Linked DNA regions of Arabidopsis thaliana. The protein of the gene in region 1 interacts with the protein of each later gene in a pairwise test. Each region holds a gene or a part of one and is shown in the gene's direction. Other genes may lie near its edges.

Evidence for each region.
Region 2: the proteins of AT2G21237 (region 1) and PRA1.E interact in a protein complementation assay, tested with the Arabidopsis thaliana proteins (one large-scale study listed by BioGRID).
Region 3: the proteins of AT2G21237 (region 1) and ARFB1A interact in a protein complementation assay, tested with the Arabidopsis thaliana proteins (one large-scale study listed by BioGRID).
Region 4: the proteins of AT2G21237 (region 1) and TBL36 interact in a protein complementation assay, tested with the Arabidopsis thaliana proteins (one large-scale study listed by BioGRID).

What each region holds. Positions count from the first base shown.
Region 1 is NC_003071.7:9,099,444-9,103,227, reverse strand, and holds AT2G21237 (uncharacterized protein), read left to right. Parts: upstream 1-2,012; 5' UTR 2,013-2,043; coding exon 2,044-2,544; 3' UTR 2,545-2,692; downstream 2,693-3,784. Other genes in the region: BPC4 (basic pentacysteine 4), read left to right, coding at 739-807, 892-1,713.
Region 2 is NC_003070.9:2,806,409-2,810,520, forward strand, and holds PRA1.E (prenylated RAB acceptor 1.E), read left to right. Parts: upstream 1-2,351; 5' UTR 2,352-2,524; coding exon 2,525-3,154; 3' UTR 3,155-3,367; downstream 3,368-4,112. Other genes in the region: AT1G08760 (GPI-anchored adhesin-like protein, putative (DUF936)), read left to right, coding at 1-56, 350-649, 903-994, 1,134-2,001; AIP3 (ABI3-interacting protein 3), read right to left, coding at 3,517-3,777. UniProt on the Arabidopsis thaliana protein: May be involved in both secretory and endocytic intracellular trafficking in the endosomal/prevacuolar compartments.
Region 3 is NC_003071.7:6,651,642-6,656,568, forward strand, and holds ARFB1A (ADP-ribosylation factor B1A), read left to right. Parts: upstream 1-2,021; 5' UTR 2,022-2,305; coding exon 2,306-2,453; intron 2,454-2,794; coding exon 2,795-2,865; intron 2,866-2,954; coding exon 2,955-3,074; intron 3,075-3,171; coding exon 3,172-3,290; intron 3,291-3,386; coding exon 3,387-3,546; 3' UTR 3,547-3,860; downstream 3,861-4,927. Other genes in the region: AT2G15300 (Leucine-rich repeat protein kinase family protein), read left to right, coding at 1-369. UniProt on the Arabidopsis thaliana protein: GTP-binding protein involved in protein trafficking; may modulate vesicle budding and uncoating within the Golgi apparatus.
Region 4 is NC_003074.8:20,083,671-20,088,631, reverse strand, and holds TBL36 (TRICHOME BIREFRINGENCE-LIKE 36), read left to right. Parts: upstream 1-1,664; 5' UTR 1,665-1,886; coding exon 1,887-2,197; intron 2,198-2,383; coding exon 2,384-2,555; intron 2,556-2,640; coding exon 2,641-2,822; intron 2,823-2,979; coding exon 2,980-3,129; intron 3,130-3,210; coding exon 3,211-3,535; 3' UTR 3,536-3,661; downstream 3,662-4,961. Other genes in the region: AT3G54270 (sucrose-6F-phosphate phosphohydrolase family protein), read left to right, coding at 1-104, 187-477, 631-817, 981-1,027, 1,124-1,213; AT3G54250 (GHMP kinase family protein), read left to right, coding at 3,944-4,153, 4,258-4,456, 4,540-4,603, 4,764-4,908. UniProt on the Arabidopsis thaliana protein: May act as a bridging protein that binds pectin and other cell wall polysaccharides. Probably involved in maintaining esterification of pectins. May be involved in the specific O-acetylation of cell wall polymers.

The sequences.
Region 1 (3,784 bases):
ATATAGATTTCTCTCTTCTCTATTTATATGCTTAAATCCACAATGAATCATTATTGTAACTGAAAGAGGATATTTAAAAAGACGAGTATACCCTTGATTTCTCTTGTTTAGTAGTAGAGAAGAGGGTAATTTGGTAAATGACGAAGTAAGTACATTGAGCTTCTTCGCGGACAGAGACACTATCTCTCTCTCTCTCTACCCTTTGGATCTTTCTTCTCGATCAATTATCCATTTTGCCCAGATTTTTTCCAGAAGCTCATCGAATTCGTAAGCTTTCGCGCCTTTTCCTCTCTTTAATTTATTTGTTAATCAATTTTGAATGTGTTGTATCTCTAGGGTTTATAATTTCAGTTTCACCCTTGTTTTCTATTGTTTCGCGGAATAATCTCTTGTCATGGAAGGTTTAGATTGATTCGACCTTTTTGATCTTGACCTAATTTATTCCAATTTTCGTAAAATTGTTCCTTAAGACCTGTTTCTCTGACTAGCTCAGATTGATTTTGGTATCTGAATCAATTGCGGAACCCTAACTGGCAGATCAATTCGAGAAGTTTTGATTTTGTTTGAAGATAGTGAATTGCGAGTTCAGTGTGCTAATATCTGCTTGTAATTCTTACTCTTCAATTGTTTTCATAGATCGAATCACAATGTTTGAAATTTGGTTTCACTGTTGCTGAGTGTGTTTGGAGGAGAAGCTTGATTGGTTCGGTGTTTCACTGTTTGAAGATTATAAGAGTTATGGAGAATGGTGGTCAGTATGATAATGCGCGGTTCAAGCCCGATTACTTCAAAGGTGCACAATCTATGGTAAGACTTAAGATTTTTGGTTTCCTAAAGATATGTTTTTGTTAGTGTGATTGAAGTTATATAAGCAAAGAATGTTTGTTACAGTGGAATATGATTCCCCAGCATCAGATTAAGGAACAACATAATGCGTTGGTGATGAATAAGAAGATCATGTCCATCCTTGCTGAGAGAGACGCTGCTGTACATGAAAGAAATCAAGCTGTCTCTGCTAAAAAGGAAGCTGTCGCTGCTCGGGACGAAGCGCTTCAGCAACGTGACAAAGCTCTTTCTGAGAGAGATAAAGCTTTGATAGAGAGAGATAATGCTTATGCTGCTCTTCAACACCATGAAAATAGTCTCAACTTTGCTTTGTCTGGTGGGAAGTGTGTTGATGGAGATGATTGTTTTGGTATTGGGGAACCCCACAAACTTGAAGTCTTCCCTTTGTCAACTATTCCGCCTGAGGTTACAAACACGAAGGTGGTGAACAAAAGGAAGAAAGAGAACAAGCAGGGACTATCAAAGGTGAAAAAAGTGGGTGAAGATCTGAACCGTCGAGTTCCTGCTCCTGGAAAGAAATCTAGAACAGATTGGGACAGTCAAGATGTCGGTTTGAACTTAGTCACCTTCGATGAGACGACAATGCCTGTACCCATGTGTTCGTGCACAGGCTCTACGCGTCAGTGTTACAAATGGGGAAATGGCGGCTGGCAATCGTCTTGCTGCACAACCACCTTATCCCAGTATCCATTACCGCAGATGCCAAACAAGAGGCATTCTCGGATGGGCGGTAGGAAAATGAGCGGAAACGTTTTCTCGAGATTACTCAGCCGTTTATCAGCAGAAGGATATGATCTCTCGTGTCCTGTTGATCTTAAAGACTATTGGGCTAGGCACGGGACAAACCGCTACATCACTATCAAGTAGCCTCTGTTGTTTACACAGTCCAAGTATGTTTCTCTCGTCTTCTTAAGATTAGGTGTTGTCTTTGTCTTTATTGTCCATAGTTTGTTCTTTGTTGTGTATGGTAAAACCATTGTTATGTGTATCTTTTGGATGGGCAAAAATGGTTTGCATAAAAAATCTGTGTTTTGACCTCAAAAAATAAAATAAAATCGTAACAGTTAAAAATCAAAATCTGTTACCCCTTTGATAGCAAAATCTGTTACCCCTTTTTTCTTTCACTTGTTAGTTTCTTTTTATACCGAGAGGAGAGAACAAAAAATAAAACACAAAGTAAGCATAAACAACAACAAAATGATGGAGAAAGCCACAGTGGCGCATGTGGAGACGCATCAACGGTCACAAGAGATATGGTTTCTTGGCGCCGCAAGAGCCTTCTTGCAAATTCCGAATCCGGGGATTGTCAAAGTTTTTGTCCTAAGCAGCTTGACTACATTCACCTCAGGAATGGCTTTAGTCATTGAGTGGATCTGTCACGGAAAGAGTCACACGGGATTCGGGTGGATCATCTACTATGCATTGTTCTTGATGTGTCTTCCTCTTGTCATCTTGATCGGTCTTCATATTCTCGTCAGGCGCGGCTCAGATCAGATTGTGGATTCAACTCCAAGCAAAGAACCGTGTGTGGTGCAGAATCAGAGTACCGAGACGACTAAACGAACTGAAGAAACGGTGAAAAACAGCTGCCAAAGTTTAGCCGTTGTGGTTGCTCCGGATGACAAGAAGATGCCGAGGATAAAACGCGCAGTGTCATTCCCGTCTCACGGCGAAGTAAGATCATGTCGAACTCGTTAGCAAATTAAAACTTAGTGTGGTTCATTCAAAAAAATAACTTTGATGTGGTTAGCTATCAGATCGATTCAAGAATCTAATAATCTCTTTTGTGATATGTTTGTTATTCAGCATTTTATCTTTTCCAATAATCCAACGACCAATGATCTTCAAAAATTCGAATTACATCTTTCTTTCTTTTTTCCCCTCTTATGAGCTGAGTTCAATATATATATATATATATATATATATATATATATATATATATATATATATTGATGTACTATATATTGTTAGTTAAAAGCAAAAGATGAAAAAGTCTTACAATGGGTTTTGGTTTTTCTTTGAAATTTTGTAACAACCCAAGTAAAATACTAGATCCTCTGTTTTTTAGGGAAAGTATTTTTTGCAAAATTTTGAATTGCTATAAAGTAGAGTTTTGGAAAAACTAAAATAAAAAATCTTTACATTCAAGGTAAAAATCTCTACTTCTTTGAAATAATGCCACGTGTCAGTTCAGCGAGGAATAATATGTGTGAGTCTCATGGGTTGTTTGAGTCAATTTCGTTACCGGTTCTACAATAAGAAGTTACTTTGGCCCAAATAGAAAGAAATTTTACTTATCAAGTGGCCGAAAGGTGGCCCCAAAAAAACAAGGAAGTAAATCTACTAATGTACATTTGTCGCTACATAATTGGTCTAAGATAAATTACTTATATAGAATACTGTTATGGTGATTTACCCAATTTTTAGCCAAATGTGGTAAATTTAATTTCTAAACAAACTTACAATCATTTATAGTATCTATTAATTTATTGCTAACAACAATTATTTTTTCCAAATAAAAATACATTTTTTTTTACAAAATTTAATTTAGATTCACTGAAATATCTACAATTAAGTAATGTAATTTAATGTGGGTCCATGTAGTGCATAGAAAAGATTTACTAATTAAGTGATTGCTAAAATCAATAAATTAATAAACAAAAATAAAAATATTAGTTGATCAAAAAAAGGAGATATATGATATTTATTAATATAGCCAAAAAATAAATCTCACAATTACAATTAATCAAAGGACTACAAAAATATACAAAACTTTCTGTAAAAAATCAAACAACAATCATTTGTAAAATCCAACATTGGTAATTCTTCTAGAGATGAACCAAATGTATATCTAAATCAGAAAAAGAAAACAAACAATATTTATGTTCCTTGATCAGTCTTAAATAAACGTGGTAAAATAGTTCGATTACAACGAAAT
Region 2 (4,112 bases), on another chromosome or scaffold:
GAACAAAATCCAGCCTTCCCAGACGTGATTTAACCCCTGATTCCCGGAGTTTAGCAGTAAGCTTTTTCAATTGTATCTTTCTTGGCTTTATATTTGCAAAAGAAACATGTAAAGTGTCATTTCCTATTCATCAGCACTTGACTTGAAGCTGAGACCACTTGTTTGAGAGCATTGTTAAACTTGTTCTATTCATTACTATCTGCTGAATCTAAGTTTGTATTATACTTTCGTCTGTTTTCCTATCAGTCTCATGTTTTTCCATCTGAATTCGTCTGTTACTTCATACAATGTTATTAGTGTTTACTGTTTTCGATTTTCTGAATATAGCTTGTATATTTTTGGTTACTAGGCTCCACGGAGAAGCACATCGAGTGAGAAGTTGCCAAGCAAACAGGAGAGGGCTAATGTATTTGCAAGATCATCGAAGGAGCACAATAAGATACAGTCAACCAAGAAAGTCGAGCCAACTGCAGTGTTGGACACCAAAGATAAAACGAGTAGGCCTAAATCTACATCTGTCGAGAAGAAATCTGTTGCAGAGAATGGATTGCCTGGGAATTTGGTCAAAGTCTCTGTTAATGGTAAAAGATTAGCGGCGGCCAATATCCAATGGAGTTCACTCCCTCCATCTCTTTCGAGGATGGGACAGGTATGGCCTTGACTGCTCTTGGATCCTTATATGTGCTTGCTTCATTAATAGGCTTTGAAGCATTTCTAGTGATTAAGAAAATTCATCTTCAAAACAAGCAGTTTAGAAATTCGATCATCCAAACTAACATATTTACTCTGGTGATTGAAGAGAACCTCTTAGTATAGCATATGCATCTTATGTTTTGGTCTTTGACATCGTGATTAAATATTAAGACAGCTTATTGAGTCATTGCTGCTATCAATATTTGCAGGAAGTATTGAGGCATAGAGAAGCTGCTCAAGTAGTCGCAATAGAGGCCCTGCAAGAAGCCTCTGCTTCCGAGAGCTTACTTCAGTGCCTCATGTGCGTAATATCTTAACCAAGTTTTATTCAGGCCGGCTTTGGATGTTTGAGGGACAAAACATAAATGTTTTTTGTATCTGAATGTTATTGTTACTGCCTTGGTGGTTTCTGAACTTTGTTCTGCTTTTCCTTTTTGTAGTATGTACTCCGATCTTTTGTCAACGGCGAAGGAAGATGATCCATTGCCAGTCGTTGAGCAGTTCTTGAAGCTCCATTCCGGTTTGAAAAACGTCCAAGTAATAACAGAGTCATTGTCCAAATTACTCTCTTTGATGTCCTCCCCAGATAATGAAGAAAACAGATCCGAGGAAGCTATAAAAGCGGCATCGGAAAAGCAGAAATTGGCAGCCTCATGGGTCCAAGCTGCGTTAGTCACTAACTTATCGCCCTTCTCTGTCTACTCCAGCAAACAAGCCAAACTTGCTGCCTCCAGGAGCAAACCCGTGATCATACTCGAGAGCCCGGGTAATAATTCCTCTAGTAAAACCCGTGGGAATATTCAAAACAAGCCAACGATTGGATCTAAACTCGTAGCACAAGGAATGATCCGTAAACACAGGGAGAACAGTAGCAGCCAGAAAGCCACCTCGGTAGCAGGGTCAGAGTCTCCACCGTTAAACTGGGTGAAAGGGAATGGTCTAAACGAGGCAACTGATCTGGCAGAGAAGTTGCAAATGGTTTCACAAGATTGGTTTTTGGGTTTCGTAGAGAGATTCTTAGACGCTGACGTGATTACATCATCCAGTCTCAGTCTGTCTGATAATGGGCAGATTGCGGGGATGCTGTCTCAGCTGAAGAGTGTGAATGATTGGTTAGACGAGATTGGATCGAAAGAGGATGAAGAAGGGTTACAAGAAGTCTCTAAGGAAACAATCGATCGATTACGGAAGAAGATCTACGAGTATCTGCTCACACATGTGGAGTCAGCAGCTGCAGCACTTGGTGGTGGTGGTGGCTCAGTCTCTTCTCCTAGACCTAAACCAATCGAAACCAAAGCAAAGAGATAAATGATGATGAAGAAGCTTCTACTTGTTTTTTTTTTTTCTTGTATATATGAAAATTGGCGGTCAATTTCTTCTGTATAATTCAGGCATCACTAAGAAGCCTACCGACGTGAAATGTTGGTATTTTTTATTCAGTCAGATACTCACTAAAGAGAACCTATTGGTTCGAAAGATTTCAACATATTTTTTATCCATTAATAACGATATCTCTTCTCTAGCGATTAAAGATTAGAAGATCAGCAAAAACAAAAATATCATTAGAAGACTTAGATCCATCACAATTCTGTAATTTTACAAAAACTATGACGATTCATGATTATGTGGAAATAGAGGCGATCGGTAAAAGTTGATTTGTTTATGGTTTATTTGTAATAATAAAAAAACTACAAGGTCCCAAAAGAAAATAATAATCACCGAACAAGTCCCTCCCATCATCCCATATTCCACATGGACTCTTTGAAATCCAAGGTTTTGCCATTTGACCACAGATTTGTGTTATTTTCAAACACAAAATCAACCAATTCCGATGAATCAGAAACCTCCGCCGTACGGTTATGGCGGCGCTGGTGGTGGAGGAGTCGGTCCTTCTTCCACTTCCAACACCACAATCATCGGGACGTTGAGTGCACGCGCCAAGCAGACGACGCAATCGATGATCACGACGCTCCGTCCATGGCGAGAGATTCTCGATCTGTCCGCGCTCTCTCTCCCTCGCGGGTATGATGAAGCCATGGCGCATCTAAAGCACAACATCTCTTATTTCCGTGGAAATTACGCTCTCGCCGTTCTCGCCATTGTTTTCCTCGGCCTTATTTACCATCCGATGTCTATGATCGCTTTCATCGTCGTCTTCATCGGATGGATTCTTCTCTATTTCTCTCGAGACGCAAACGATTCGATTGTGATTTCGGGGAAAGAAGTAGATGACAAGATCGTGCTGGTTTTACTCAGCTTGGTAACGGTTTTGGCATTGGTATATACAGATGTGGGCGAAAACGTTCTGGTTTCGCTGATCATTGGTTTGCTCATCGTCGGAGCTCACGGCGCTTTTCGTAATACCGATGATTTGTTTCTTGATGAAGAAAGTGCTCGCCGTGGTGGCCTGGTGTCTGCCGGTTCTGGTAACCGGCCACCGTCGAGTTATACCCCAATTTGAGTAAACCGGTTTGGAGAATTACTCGTAATTTCTTGGGTTTTTGATTGAAGAAGCTAAGGGAATCAATTTAGGGCTTTGTATTTTGGATTTCCCAAAGATTCTTGTATTTATATTTTGGCGTGTGTGTTTCATTTTGTTTGAATGTATACAAATTCTGGGAAAAAACAAATTGGTGTTATGGTATTTTATAGAATTGCCAAAAACATAATTTCCGATAGAAAAAGAAAAGTATGCATTAACCAGATGAAATTTCATAATGAACAAAACCAGTATGTTAAATTCAAGAATCCTTTGGTCTACACTCACAGTAGAATCATAAACTGATGCAATAGAAGAAAAACAAAGTTGGGAATAACTACTAACTAGTCTTCTTCAAGATTGATAGAATCTTTGAACTTAGCATACAATACCTTCTTCAGCGCTGCCATTTGTGTTACAATTGATTCCTTCTCTTGCTCGAGTTTCTCAAGGCTTTTGCAGGTCGCTTCTTTCATCTCTTCTATCTTTGTTTCTACGTCGTCCCTCGGCACATGAGCAAACACTTCTCCTATTTGAAAACGCACCATCTCCTCATCAGCAAGGATCAACTCGTTCCCTGCATCCTCTAGATTTTCACACTTTTCCTGCATAAATCAATTGTTTTTTAATCAAGCTAGATGCAGAAACACACAGTAGAATGCTGTTTTAATCCCCCTAATGAAACGATTGAACAAGACAAGTATCCACTTATTATTGCAAAGTCCCACATCTCCCTTTTTGTTTCCTACACATGCTGAACTATCAACACCATTACAATATCTAATTACAGTGATCTGATATACCCTAGCAGGCTTATATTCACCAACGAAGGAGAAAGTTAAGGGAGCAGTGATATGTAAGAGTGCACGGATGGTATAAGCAGGTTACAGTAGATTGGTACAACCTAAAGAGAATGTAAAATGAGATATGAGAGTATAGA
Region 3 (4,927 bases), 2.4 Mb from region 1:
CGTATTATGACTTCGGCCCATTTACTCACGGACGGGCCATTGTCGAGCTTACAAGACCAACCACCAGAGTGGTCGACAAGCCAGAAGCCAAACCCCAAATGGGATGTATATTCATTTGGTGTTATACTCTTGGAACTTCTCACAGGCATAGTTTTTTCGGTCGATCGAGATTTGGTTCGCGATTCTGAGACTGATGAGAAAAGTTGGTTCTTGAAGTTGGTCGATGGGGAAATTAGGGTTGAGGTGGCTCACCGCGAGGATGAGGCGGTCGCATGCTTGAAGTTAGGCTATGAATGTGTCTCCTCCTTGCCTCAAAAGCGACCGTCTATGAAGGAAGTGGTGCAAGTGCTAGAGAAAATGTTTGTTTAGTTGTTTACTTTATTCTTAAAAAGATATCATATATTTGTTGCAATGTAAATGGATTACTTTGTGTCATTTGAATTGTTGTTCGTTTTTTTCTTTTTGTTTCGGGATAAAAGTATCATGGTATCTTTTGTTAGAGCATATCTAAGAAGCGCAGATATTGTCGCATGATAAGCCTGAAGTTACTAAATATACTCTCAAAGCCTACAAACCCATGTATCTTAGGATTTAATAGCAAGTTTAGATTCATTTAAGTTTAGATTCCTAGCAACTCTCCTTTTCTCTTATATGAAATCAATCTAAGAATCTTTGATCTTTGTGTTCTTAATTAATATTTCATTTTTCTTATGACTTCCTTTCATCTAAATAAAGCTTTGAATGTGGGATAAAAGGAAACTTTATTTTGTTTGTTGCTCTCGTCTTTTTTTTTTTTTTTTTTTTTCAAACCGATGTTAATTACTTTGAAAGTTTTATCTTATGTATTGGTTTTATTTTTCTTAAGCCACTTCTGGTTTTCATATACACTAGCACACCTCTACCTGATTTTTTCTTATAAATATATATCGTAAAGATGATAAAACAAGTAAATAAATGTAAAACAGTTGAACTTAAAAACTCTCAAATAATTTTAGTCACTTCAAGTAAAACGATTTCCAGTTAATTCTGACATTATGTGAATAAACTTAAGCTTTCCGTATATATTCATAGGAGAAATCTCAACATTTTCTTTAACAAAAAAAAAAAAAGAGAAATCTCAACATTTTTTGGATATGAAATAAATTAACTAAATGAATGATTTGTTGATATTAATTTGAAAAAAAATTGTCAACTACCTGAAGTTTAGCAAACCACATGGCCATCAATGCCAAGTATACTAGGATATTCAGCTAACTGAAGTATATGGATTGAATGACAATATATACGAAGTATACGATGTTATATGATCAACATTATAAATGGAGAATCTCAGGTTAACCGCTGGACTGATTCCGACGTTGACCAACAAAAATATTCAAAAATAATATTTCAATTTACTTTTAATATTAAAAAAATATATATTGTGTTGTATAATAATAATAAAATCTATATCCAATATAAATATATTTTGTATATATATTGAATGCATTAATTCTTATAATAGTTTGTTTTTCAATTTCAAAACTAAATTAAGAGTGTAATTTTTTTTAAGAAGTTATTTTTTTAATTAATAGTTATTTATATTATTAATTAAAAATATTAATTTCTTATTTCATTAAAGTTTTACTAAAATTTCAATTTTGAATTTTAAAAATTATCATACAAAATTTAGATTAAAAATTTATATACTCAAGTTTTTTGCATATCAGTTTCTAATGAAATCATATGTATTGGTTTTTTTATTCTAATGATTTATTTCTAATGAAAATAAGAAGTTAATATTTTTTTAATTGATCATCTTCCCTTACTTAATTGTTTCTAATAAGACTTATGCTCTGTTTTATTATTGCTTATCAAAAATCCGGTTTGATATTTTGTTCCATTTACCATCTTTATGCAATTCCAGTTTCGTGTCTTTCCTATGCACCTCTAATAATATTCCATATCGCTGGTGATGTACTCAAGGAATAAGATTCTGATATATGCTTCTAGAATGAGAAAGACAGAACACAGAATCTGACCAGTCCTGCTCTGTGTCCTAATGAGCTTTCGAGTTTGGAAAAGGACACAACATTACCTCTCTTCCTTAGGGAATTTATTCTTTTCCAGCCTTTCTTCTAATGGGACTTTGCCTTTTTGCTTGCCTTTACAATCTGCAAATCAAACTTTCAGTTATTTTTTCTTTTCTCTCATGTGTGTAAAATACTCTTCATAGATCTCATATAAGTCCAAGCTTGAATTGAAATATCAGAAGCTGTGTTTCTTTCACTGTATCTAAGATCCTTGTTTTTGTTTTTTGTTCTACATGGGAGCCAGATTTTCACGTATAGCGAAAAGGTTTCTTCCTAAAAGTAAAGTAAGGATTTTGATGGTTGGTCTTGATGGTTCAGGGAAGACTACCATCCTTTACAAGTTGAAGCTTGGAGAAGTTGTCACAACAGTGCCTACTATTGGTATGTGACATGGACTTTTCTTCTCTTGTTTTTTTGGTTCTGTTGAGACTTCTATCTATTGATTCTGAAGTTAGAGCAAGATGTTGATTCACTCTATATATCTATTTATTGAGGATTATGAAGGAAACTTTGTTTGGCTAGTTAGAACTGCTCCAACCATATATACTTTTGTGTATCTTTATTGTGGATCATAGCTCATGTGTAGATACTAGATCATAGTTACATTTTTATTTACCTTTGATTGTGTTTGCATTGGTGAGGAAGAATATTCTTAATAGCTTGATAAATCTCATATTGATGATTAACCTTTTTTGGTTTTTGGTTGTTTTGCGATTTTCCAGGTTTCAACCTCGAGACAGTAGAATACAAAGGCATCAATTTCACTGTATGGGATATAGGAGGACAAGAGAAGGTAAACTCCATTTTACTTCTCTATAAGTGCATATAAACACATATTTCTCTTCCTTTGCCTCTCCAGGCTTGACCTGTCCGGTTCAACAGATTCGCAAATTGTGGAGACACTATTTCCAGAACGCGCAGGGGCTCATCTTTGTAGTGGACAGCAGCGATAGTGAAAGGTTATCAGAAGCTCGAAACGAGCTGCATCGCATACTAACCGATGTAAAATTCATATGAAACTTTAAAATGTTACTTATTGTCTCCTCTTTTCTTTTTTTTAACCCTAACAACTTTCTTTATTGGTAAAAAAAATCCACAGAATGAACTAGAAGGTGCATGTGTACTTGTCTTTGCGAACAAGCAAGATTCGAGAAATGCTTTACCTGTAGCCGAGGTTGCCAACAAACTTGGTCTACACAGCCTATCCAAACGTTGTTGGTAATAATACTAAAAACTTCCTCTCGTGTTGGTTATATATATATTTAGAGGTAGAGGGATAAACAAAAACAATTTTTGTGATTGTGATTGGTGCAGGCTTATACAAGGAACCTCAGCTATCTCTGGGCAAGGATTATACGAAGGACTTGAGTGGCTATCGACAACAATCCCCAACAAACCCGAACGGTCTACTTCGGTTAGTAGTTTCCGGAGTGATTCCTATGAGAGGAAGCTGGTCCGAGGTCCGAGGTATTAAAAGGCTTTAAATGGTTACTCCAACGTAAAAAACAGAACGCACCAGAAAGGGCAAGTGTATTTTTGTACTAGCTTGTTTGGTATACGCTCTGATTCGTACGAGCAACCAAAATAGCTCTCTTCTGCGTTCTATATTTGTATGATTATGTTGTTTTGTTTTCAATGTTTCTCATTGAGAACCATATTTGACTATTACTCATATTATGGTGTGAATAAGGTTTTCTAGGGTATATATCTTTACGAGTTTACGTACACCCTTTACATGATGAATATTTTCTCGTTCTTACTTTAGAATTTAACATATTTTATTTTATTTTTGATAAGAATATAAATCTATATAATAATAACAATCTTAATAAATATTGCAGTTGTAAACAATTGTGTTTTTTTTTGTTATTGCAACTTTTCGTTAAAATAATTTTTTCTGTTTTAAACTAAAAACATATATTTTACGGTTATATTTTCTTAGAAAATTGCAATTCGTATAAATGCATATTACTGAATAAAATTAAGAAAGCAATAACAAAATTATGTAAATTATGTTATAAAGACACAATTGCAAAAGACATTTATTCGGATTACTATTATTATATCAAAAATATTACAACAGTTCAAAAAATAAACCGAAAATTACAATGGTTCGTCAGGTAAACTAAATATTGCAATAGTTTAATGAAACAGTTGCAAAATGTATCTCAATATTTGTTTTAATGGTTAAAAATTAAACAATATTATGAAAAGTTATACCAAGAGATACGATCGTATATGTTAAATATACCGAAAGTTGCAATAGTTCATCAAATAAACTAAAAGCTACAACGGTTCATAAAACAAAATCAAAAGTTGCAATGATTTATCAAAAACATTCTTTGATTCTTCAAGAACAATCTCATCAAAATTATTTCTCACAATGACCTACACATCACCGTCGTTTTGCGTTTCATTTAGGAGCAAGTGAATTAGTATTGTATGAGGGATGTTAGATGTGTGTTAAAATATGTCGAACGACTTACATTCTGGTAATGGATCTAACTTGTAGAAAAGCATCATTTTGTCTACTAAAATGAATTGTTACAACCATTTAGTTGAACTATTACAACATTTGATTTTTGAATCGTTGCAACTTTTAGTTTATTTTATGAATCGTTGTAATATTTAGTTATCTACAGTTATGTCTTGTGATGTAACATTGTAACTACATAAAACAAATTATGTTTAATTTTTAATAGAGTTGTTGTAACCGTTTAACTGTTGTAACATTTTGTTTATTTGACCAATCATTGTAGCTTTTAGTTTTATTTTATAAATTGTTGCAACCTTTTGTTTATTTGATGAATCATTGCAGCATTTGATGCATTAAATATATATGATCACATCTCTTG
Region 4 (4,961 bases), on another chromosome or scaffold:
ACAAGTTGGATATTGAAGGCAAGCAGCCTTCTAACACACTTGTTTGTGGTGACTCTGGAAATGATGCTGAGCTTTTCAACATTTCTGACGTATATGGCGTAATGGTTAGTTCCCAACTACTTTTTTTTAGGTTCGATCATACTTGACTACGCGTGAGTGATTGTGCTTATATTTTTACTGTTTAAGGTTAGCAATTCGCATGAAGAATTATTGCAATGGTATGAAGAAAATGCAAAGGACAACCCAAAAATATTTCATGCGTCTGAGAGGTGTGGAGCTGGTATGATAGAAGCTATTCAGAGGTTTAATTTGGGACCAAATGTCTCTCCTAGAGATGTTATGGACACTGAAAATTTCCATGGGGAAAGTTTGAATCCTGCTCATGAGGTTGTTCAGTTTTATTTGTTTTATGAGAGATGGCGTTGTGGAGAGGTGGAAAAGTCTGACAAGTACTTGCAGAATTTGAAATCGCTCTCTGTAAGTGTGTTTATTTGACAAAAAAAAGCTCTCTAGCATCTAACGTAATGGAAATTCAAGTGCTCAAATTGATAATTTTGAAGATGTTCTTGATTGCTTGTGTTGTGTAGACTTATTAGTTGACGTAATTGTTATGCTTTTGCAATGTTTCAGAGTCCACTTGGTATTTTTGTTCATCCGTCTGGAGTGGAGAAACCGATACATGAATGGATAGATGAGATGGAAAATTTATACGGTGATGGGAAGGAAAAGAAGTTTCGCATTTGGTTGGATAATGTTACGTCTTCTCATATCAGTTCAGATACATGGCTTGCAAAATTTGTAAAGCATGAGTTATCTGGTAAGAAATCTTGTTCTTCAATTACATGGCTTATACTTGTGACTTATCGAGCTAGGAAATGATTTAGCAGAAAATACGATCAACTGATTTGTTTGATTTCTCATCATAAGGGTATACTGTAGAAGTTTGCTTCCATGTTCTAATGTCTAGCTCGTGTTTACAGAGGGAAAAGTACGGTCTTGTTCAACAAAAGTCTTACTGAGTTATAAGGTAAACCTTGATTTATGATCCTTTTAAGATTTCAAACGATTAGATTGGTTAAATAATATTGGAAAAAAATAACTGAAAATGGGTTAAAATTGAAAGGAGGAAAAGCAAAGGCTGACGTGGATGCACATCCACCAATCATGGTTAGATGAATCTTCTTCAGATGATCAAGAAAAATGGATTTTCTAAAGGATTATCTTAATCTCGACTGACATACTAAAGATGACATCTGTTTGGGACAGAAGCTAACCAAAGAGCATAGTGTTTGTTTTGTGTTATGTTTGTTTGGGGATGGTGTGAGTTTGATAAAGCATGAAGGATACTAAAAGCTGAAGAAGGTGTTGCCATGTCTTGGTTTCGTTTCATTAATACTTTTTTACATATTTGGGTTAACTTAAAACTATTAATAAGGAAGGTTGGGTCCTGAATTTGGTCTGTTCATGACCTTTTGAGGGCAGGGAGAGTTTTGGGTCTCTACAACAAAACCTACATTTCTTTAGTCTTACAAAACCTACCATTGTGTTTGATTTGCAATTCTTTTTTCTGGTTTATATGGATTGTTTTCTACTATTTCTGTTTGTTTTTGTTGAGAAACTATTTCGATTTTTTAAACCATATACAAAACGCTCCACCAAACTCACAAATCCCGCCTTGGATACTGTAATCTGTTTTTATAAAAAAATGATATGATGGAGAGAAGAGGAGACGCAAGTCACGGGACATGATTTCAAGCATAAGTCTAATTACTAATTACCACCACTTTCCGTAATTAACGCCCTTTTTCACTTTATCCACTTTTTGTTGCCCATCTTCTTTATATTATTTCTTTCTCCAAGCCCACACTGCTCAGTTTCCTGGTCAAATGGCTACCTCAGAGACTCGAGTCTTGTTCTTATCTTTGTGTCTCATCCTTGGCAAAGTAGTTTTGTCTCAGTTTGATGAGTTATGGCTAGTAGGGGACGATGATCCACTCAACGCCTTGCAGACGAGGCGTGAAAGAAGAGAGGAGAGGTGTGATTACTCGGTGGGGAAATGGACGTTCGATGAAACGTATCCGCTCTATGATTCAAGCTGTCCATATCTGAGTTCTGCACTAAGTTGCCAAAGAAATGGAAGACCCGACTCTTATTACCAGAAATGGAGATGGATCCCTAAGGCTTGTTCACTACCAAGGCACACTCCACACTCCTCTTACTTCTTACATTACTTCTTTTTAAAATTTCTGTCTCATCAAGTAAAAAAGTTGGTTTATATTGGCTTTGCATGGTTAATTGCAAGATGAATAAATTGACTAATGAAAAATGGGAAAGAGACATTAATATTAACCAAAATAGTGGCTCTTTCCATGATGGTGTTTAGGTTTGACGCATTGAAATTTCTTGGGAAAATGAGAGGAAAAAGAATAATGCTGGTTGGAGATTCAATGATGAGAAACCAGTGGGAATCTCTTGTCTGCTTAGTACAGTCTGTTCTTCCCACTCATCGTAAGAAGCTCACTTACAATGGTCCTACGATGTCTTTCCATTCTCTGGTAATTAATAATCACAAATCTCCTTTTGAATCACATATACATCATTGGTTAGTAGATGCAACTATTAAATTTGGTTACTATACAGGATTTTGAGACATCAATTGAGTTTTGTTGGGCTCCTCTGCTTGTGGAACTCAAGAGAGGAGTTGACCGTAAAAGGGTGTTACATTTGGACTCAATCGAAGACAATGCTAGATATTGGCGTGGTGTAGATGTTCTTGTATTCGATTCCGCTCACTGGTGGACTCACTCTCAGAGATGGAGTTCGTAAGTCATCTGAATAAACACTTACATCTTTCCTTCAAAAGCAAATGATTAGTGTATAACGGTTCATAGACGTCTATGTTCATTGTATTTGTTATTGTGTCTCATTTTACATCAGATTTGGGATTTGTGACAGTAACGCAAGCTATTGATGTTTTAGGTGGGATTATTACATGGATGGGAATAAGATCTTCAAAGCTATGGACCCAATGGTTGCTTATGAGAGAGGACTAACCACATGGGCTAAATGGGTTGAGATAAATCTTGATCCATCCAAAACAAAAGTCATTTTCCGCACTGTCTCACCGAGGTTTTTTCTTATATTCTCCTCTTAATCTCAACATATATACAAAATGGACACCATTAATTCATGTACATAAATTCTTGGCAGAGAGAGTGGTCAGATGTGCTACAACCAGAAACATCCCTTGCCTTCTTTATCTTCTTCCACCAAACCCCACGTGCCTCAACAGTCAAGAGTGTTGAACAAAGTGCTAAGGACAATGAAATACCGAGTGTATTTATACGATATCACAACAATGTCTGCGTATAGAAGAGACGGTCATCCTTCGGTGTTCAAGAGAGCAATGCACGAGGAAGAGAAGCACCATCGTATCGCTGGACCTTCATCAGATTGCAGTCATTGGTGCTTGCCCGGTGTCCCGGATATTTGGAATGAGATGCTTTCTTCAATTATCTTAACCAATGCTGTATGAGCTATAATAAGAGTCTGTTTTTACTCATGAACAATGGTGTTACTTATATGAATCAGTGGTTTATATATTACATATCCTTTCCCAGCTAACAAATATCCCAATATCAAAGACAAGACAACTCAAAGGCCTTTAAGCATAAAGTTCATGCATCACAATGATTTTCGTGTTTTGGTTATTTCTTACCTAACTCAATTTTTTTCCTAAAACGTTTTAGGTTAAGTTTTGGTGTTTTCATCAAAATGGCAATAACCATTTGATTAGAGTTTTACAGTTAGTGAAGTTCTCAATTTTTGAATAAAATAATATTTTTAAAATTGTAAAGGCAATGAGTCATCATTATTCTGTCGTATTCTCCGTCGCTTTCATTTTCAACTACTTTGAAGCTGCAGATCTCTTTTGGAGATTCACATGGCGACGGAGAAATGGGTGTTCATGGTGACGGCGCAAACTCCGACGAACATTGCGGTGATTAAGTATTGGGGAAAGAGAGATGAGGTTCGGATTCTCCCCGTTAACGATAGCATTAGCGTAACTCTTGATCCTGATCATCTCTGCACAGTCACCACTGTTGCCGTTAGTCCTGCTTTTGATCGGGATCGAATGTGGCTCAATGGCAAGGTACACTCGCTTCATTTCCCATCACGATCTCTCTCCTTTTGCTGAGATTCCAATTATCGAATTACAAAGATTTTTGTTGTTGTTGTTGTTTCATGTTAGTGTAGGAAATATCTCTTTCTGGAAGTAGGTACCAAAATTGTTTGAGGGAAATACGAGGTCGTGCTGGTGATGTTGAAGACATGGAAAAGGGGATCAAGATAAGGAAGAAAGATTGGGAGAAATTGAATCTACATATTGCTTCTCATAATAACTTCCCTACTGCTGCTGGCTTAGCATCTTCAGCTGCTGGATTTGCTTGTCTAGGTATTCTGCTTTTTCTCTCTGTTGATGATTATGAGCTTGAGAATGGCTTGTAGTTTATGTCAAACTGTTTTTTTTGCCTACAGTTTTTTCTCTTGCAAAGTTGATGAATGTAGATGAAGATCCAAGCCATCTTTCTGCAATAGCCAGGTACCTATGTAGTGGACTTCCTTGCACTATATATCAATGCTTTGATTTATGTATAGTCATCTACTAATGCATGAGTTGTGATAGTGAAGTGAAATCTGACACTCCTCTAGGAATTAAATGGTACTGATATTCATGGTTTGATTTCTGTTTGCTCATGTAGGCAAGGTTCAGGAAGTGCTTGCCGGAGTTTATTTGGTGGATTTGTCAAGTGGACAATGGGAAGCAAAGAAGATGGAAGTGACAGCGTTGCAGTTCAACTGGCAGATGAGAAGCATTGGGATGATCTTGTTATCATCATTGCTGTGGTATGGCTCTTTTAAAAAATATTGTGACTTTTTGGCAGGATTACTCCGACTCT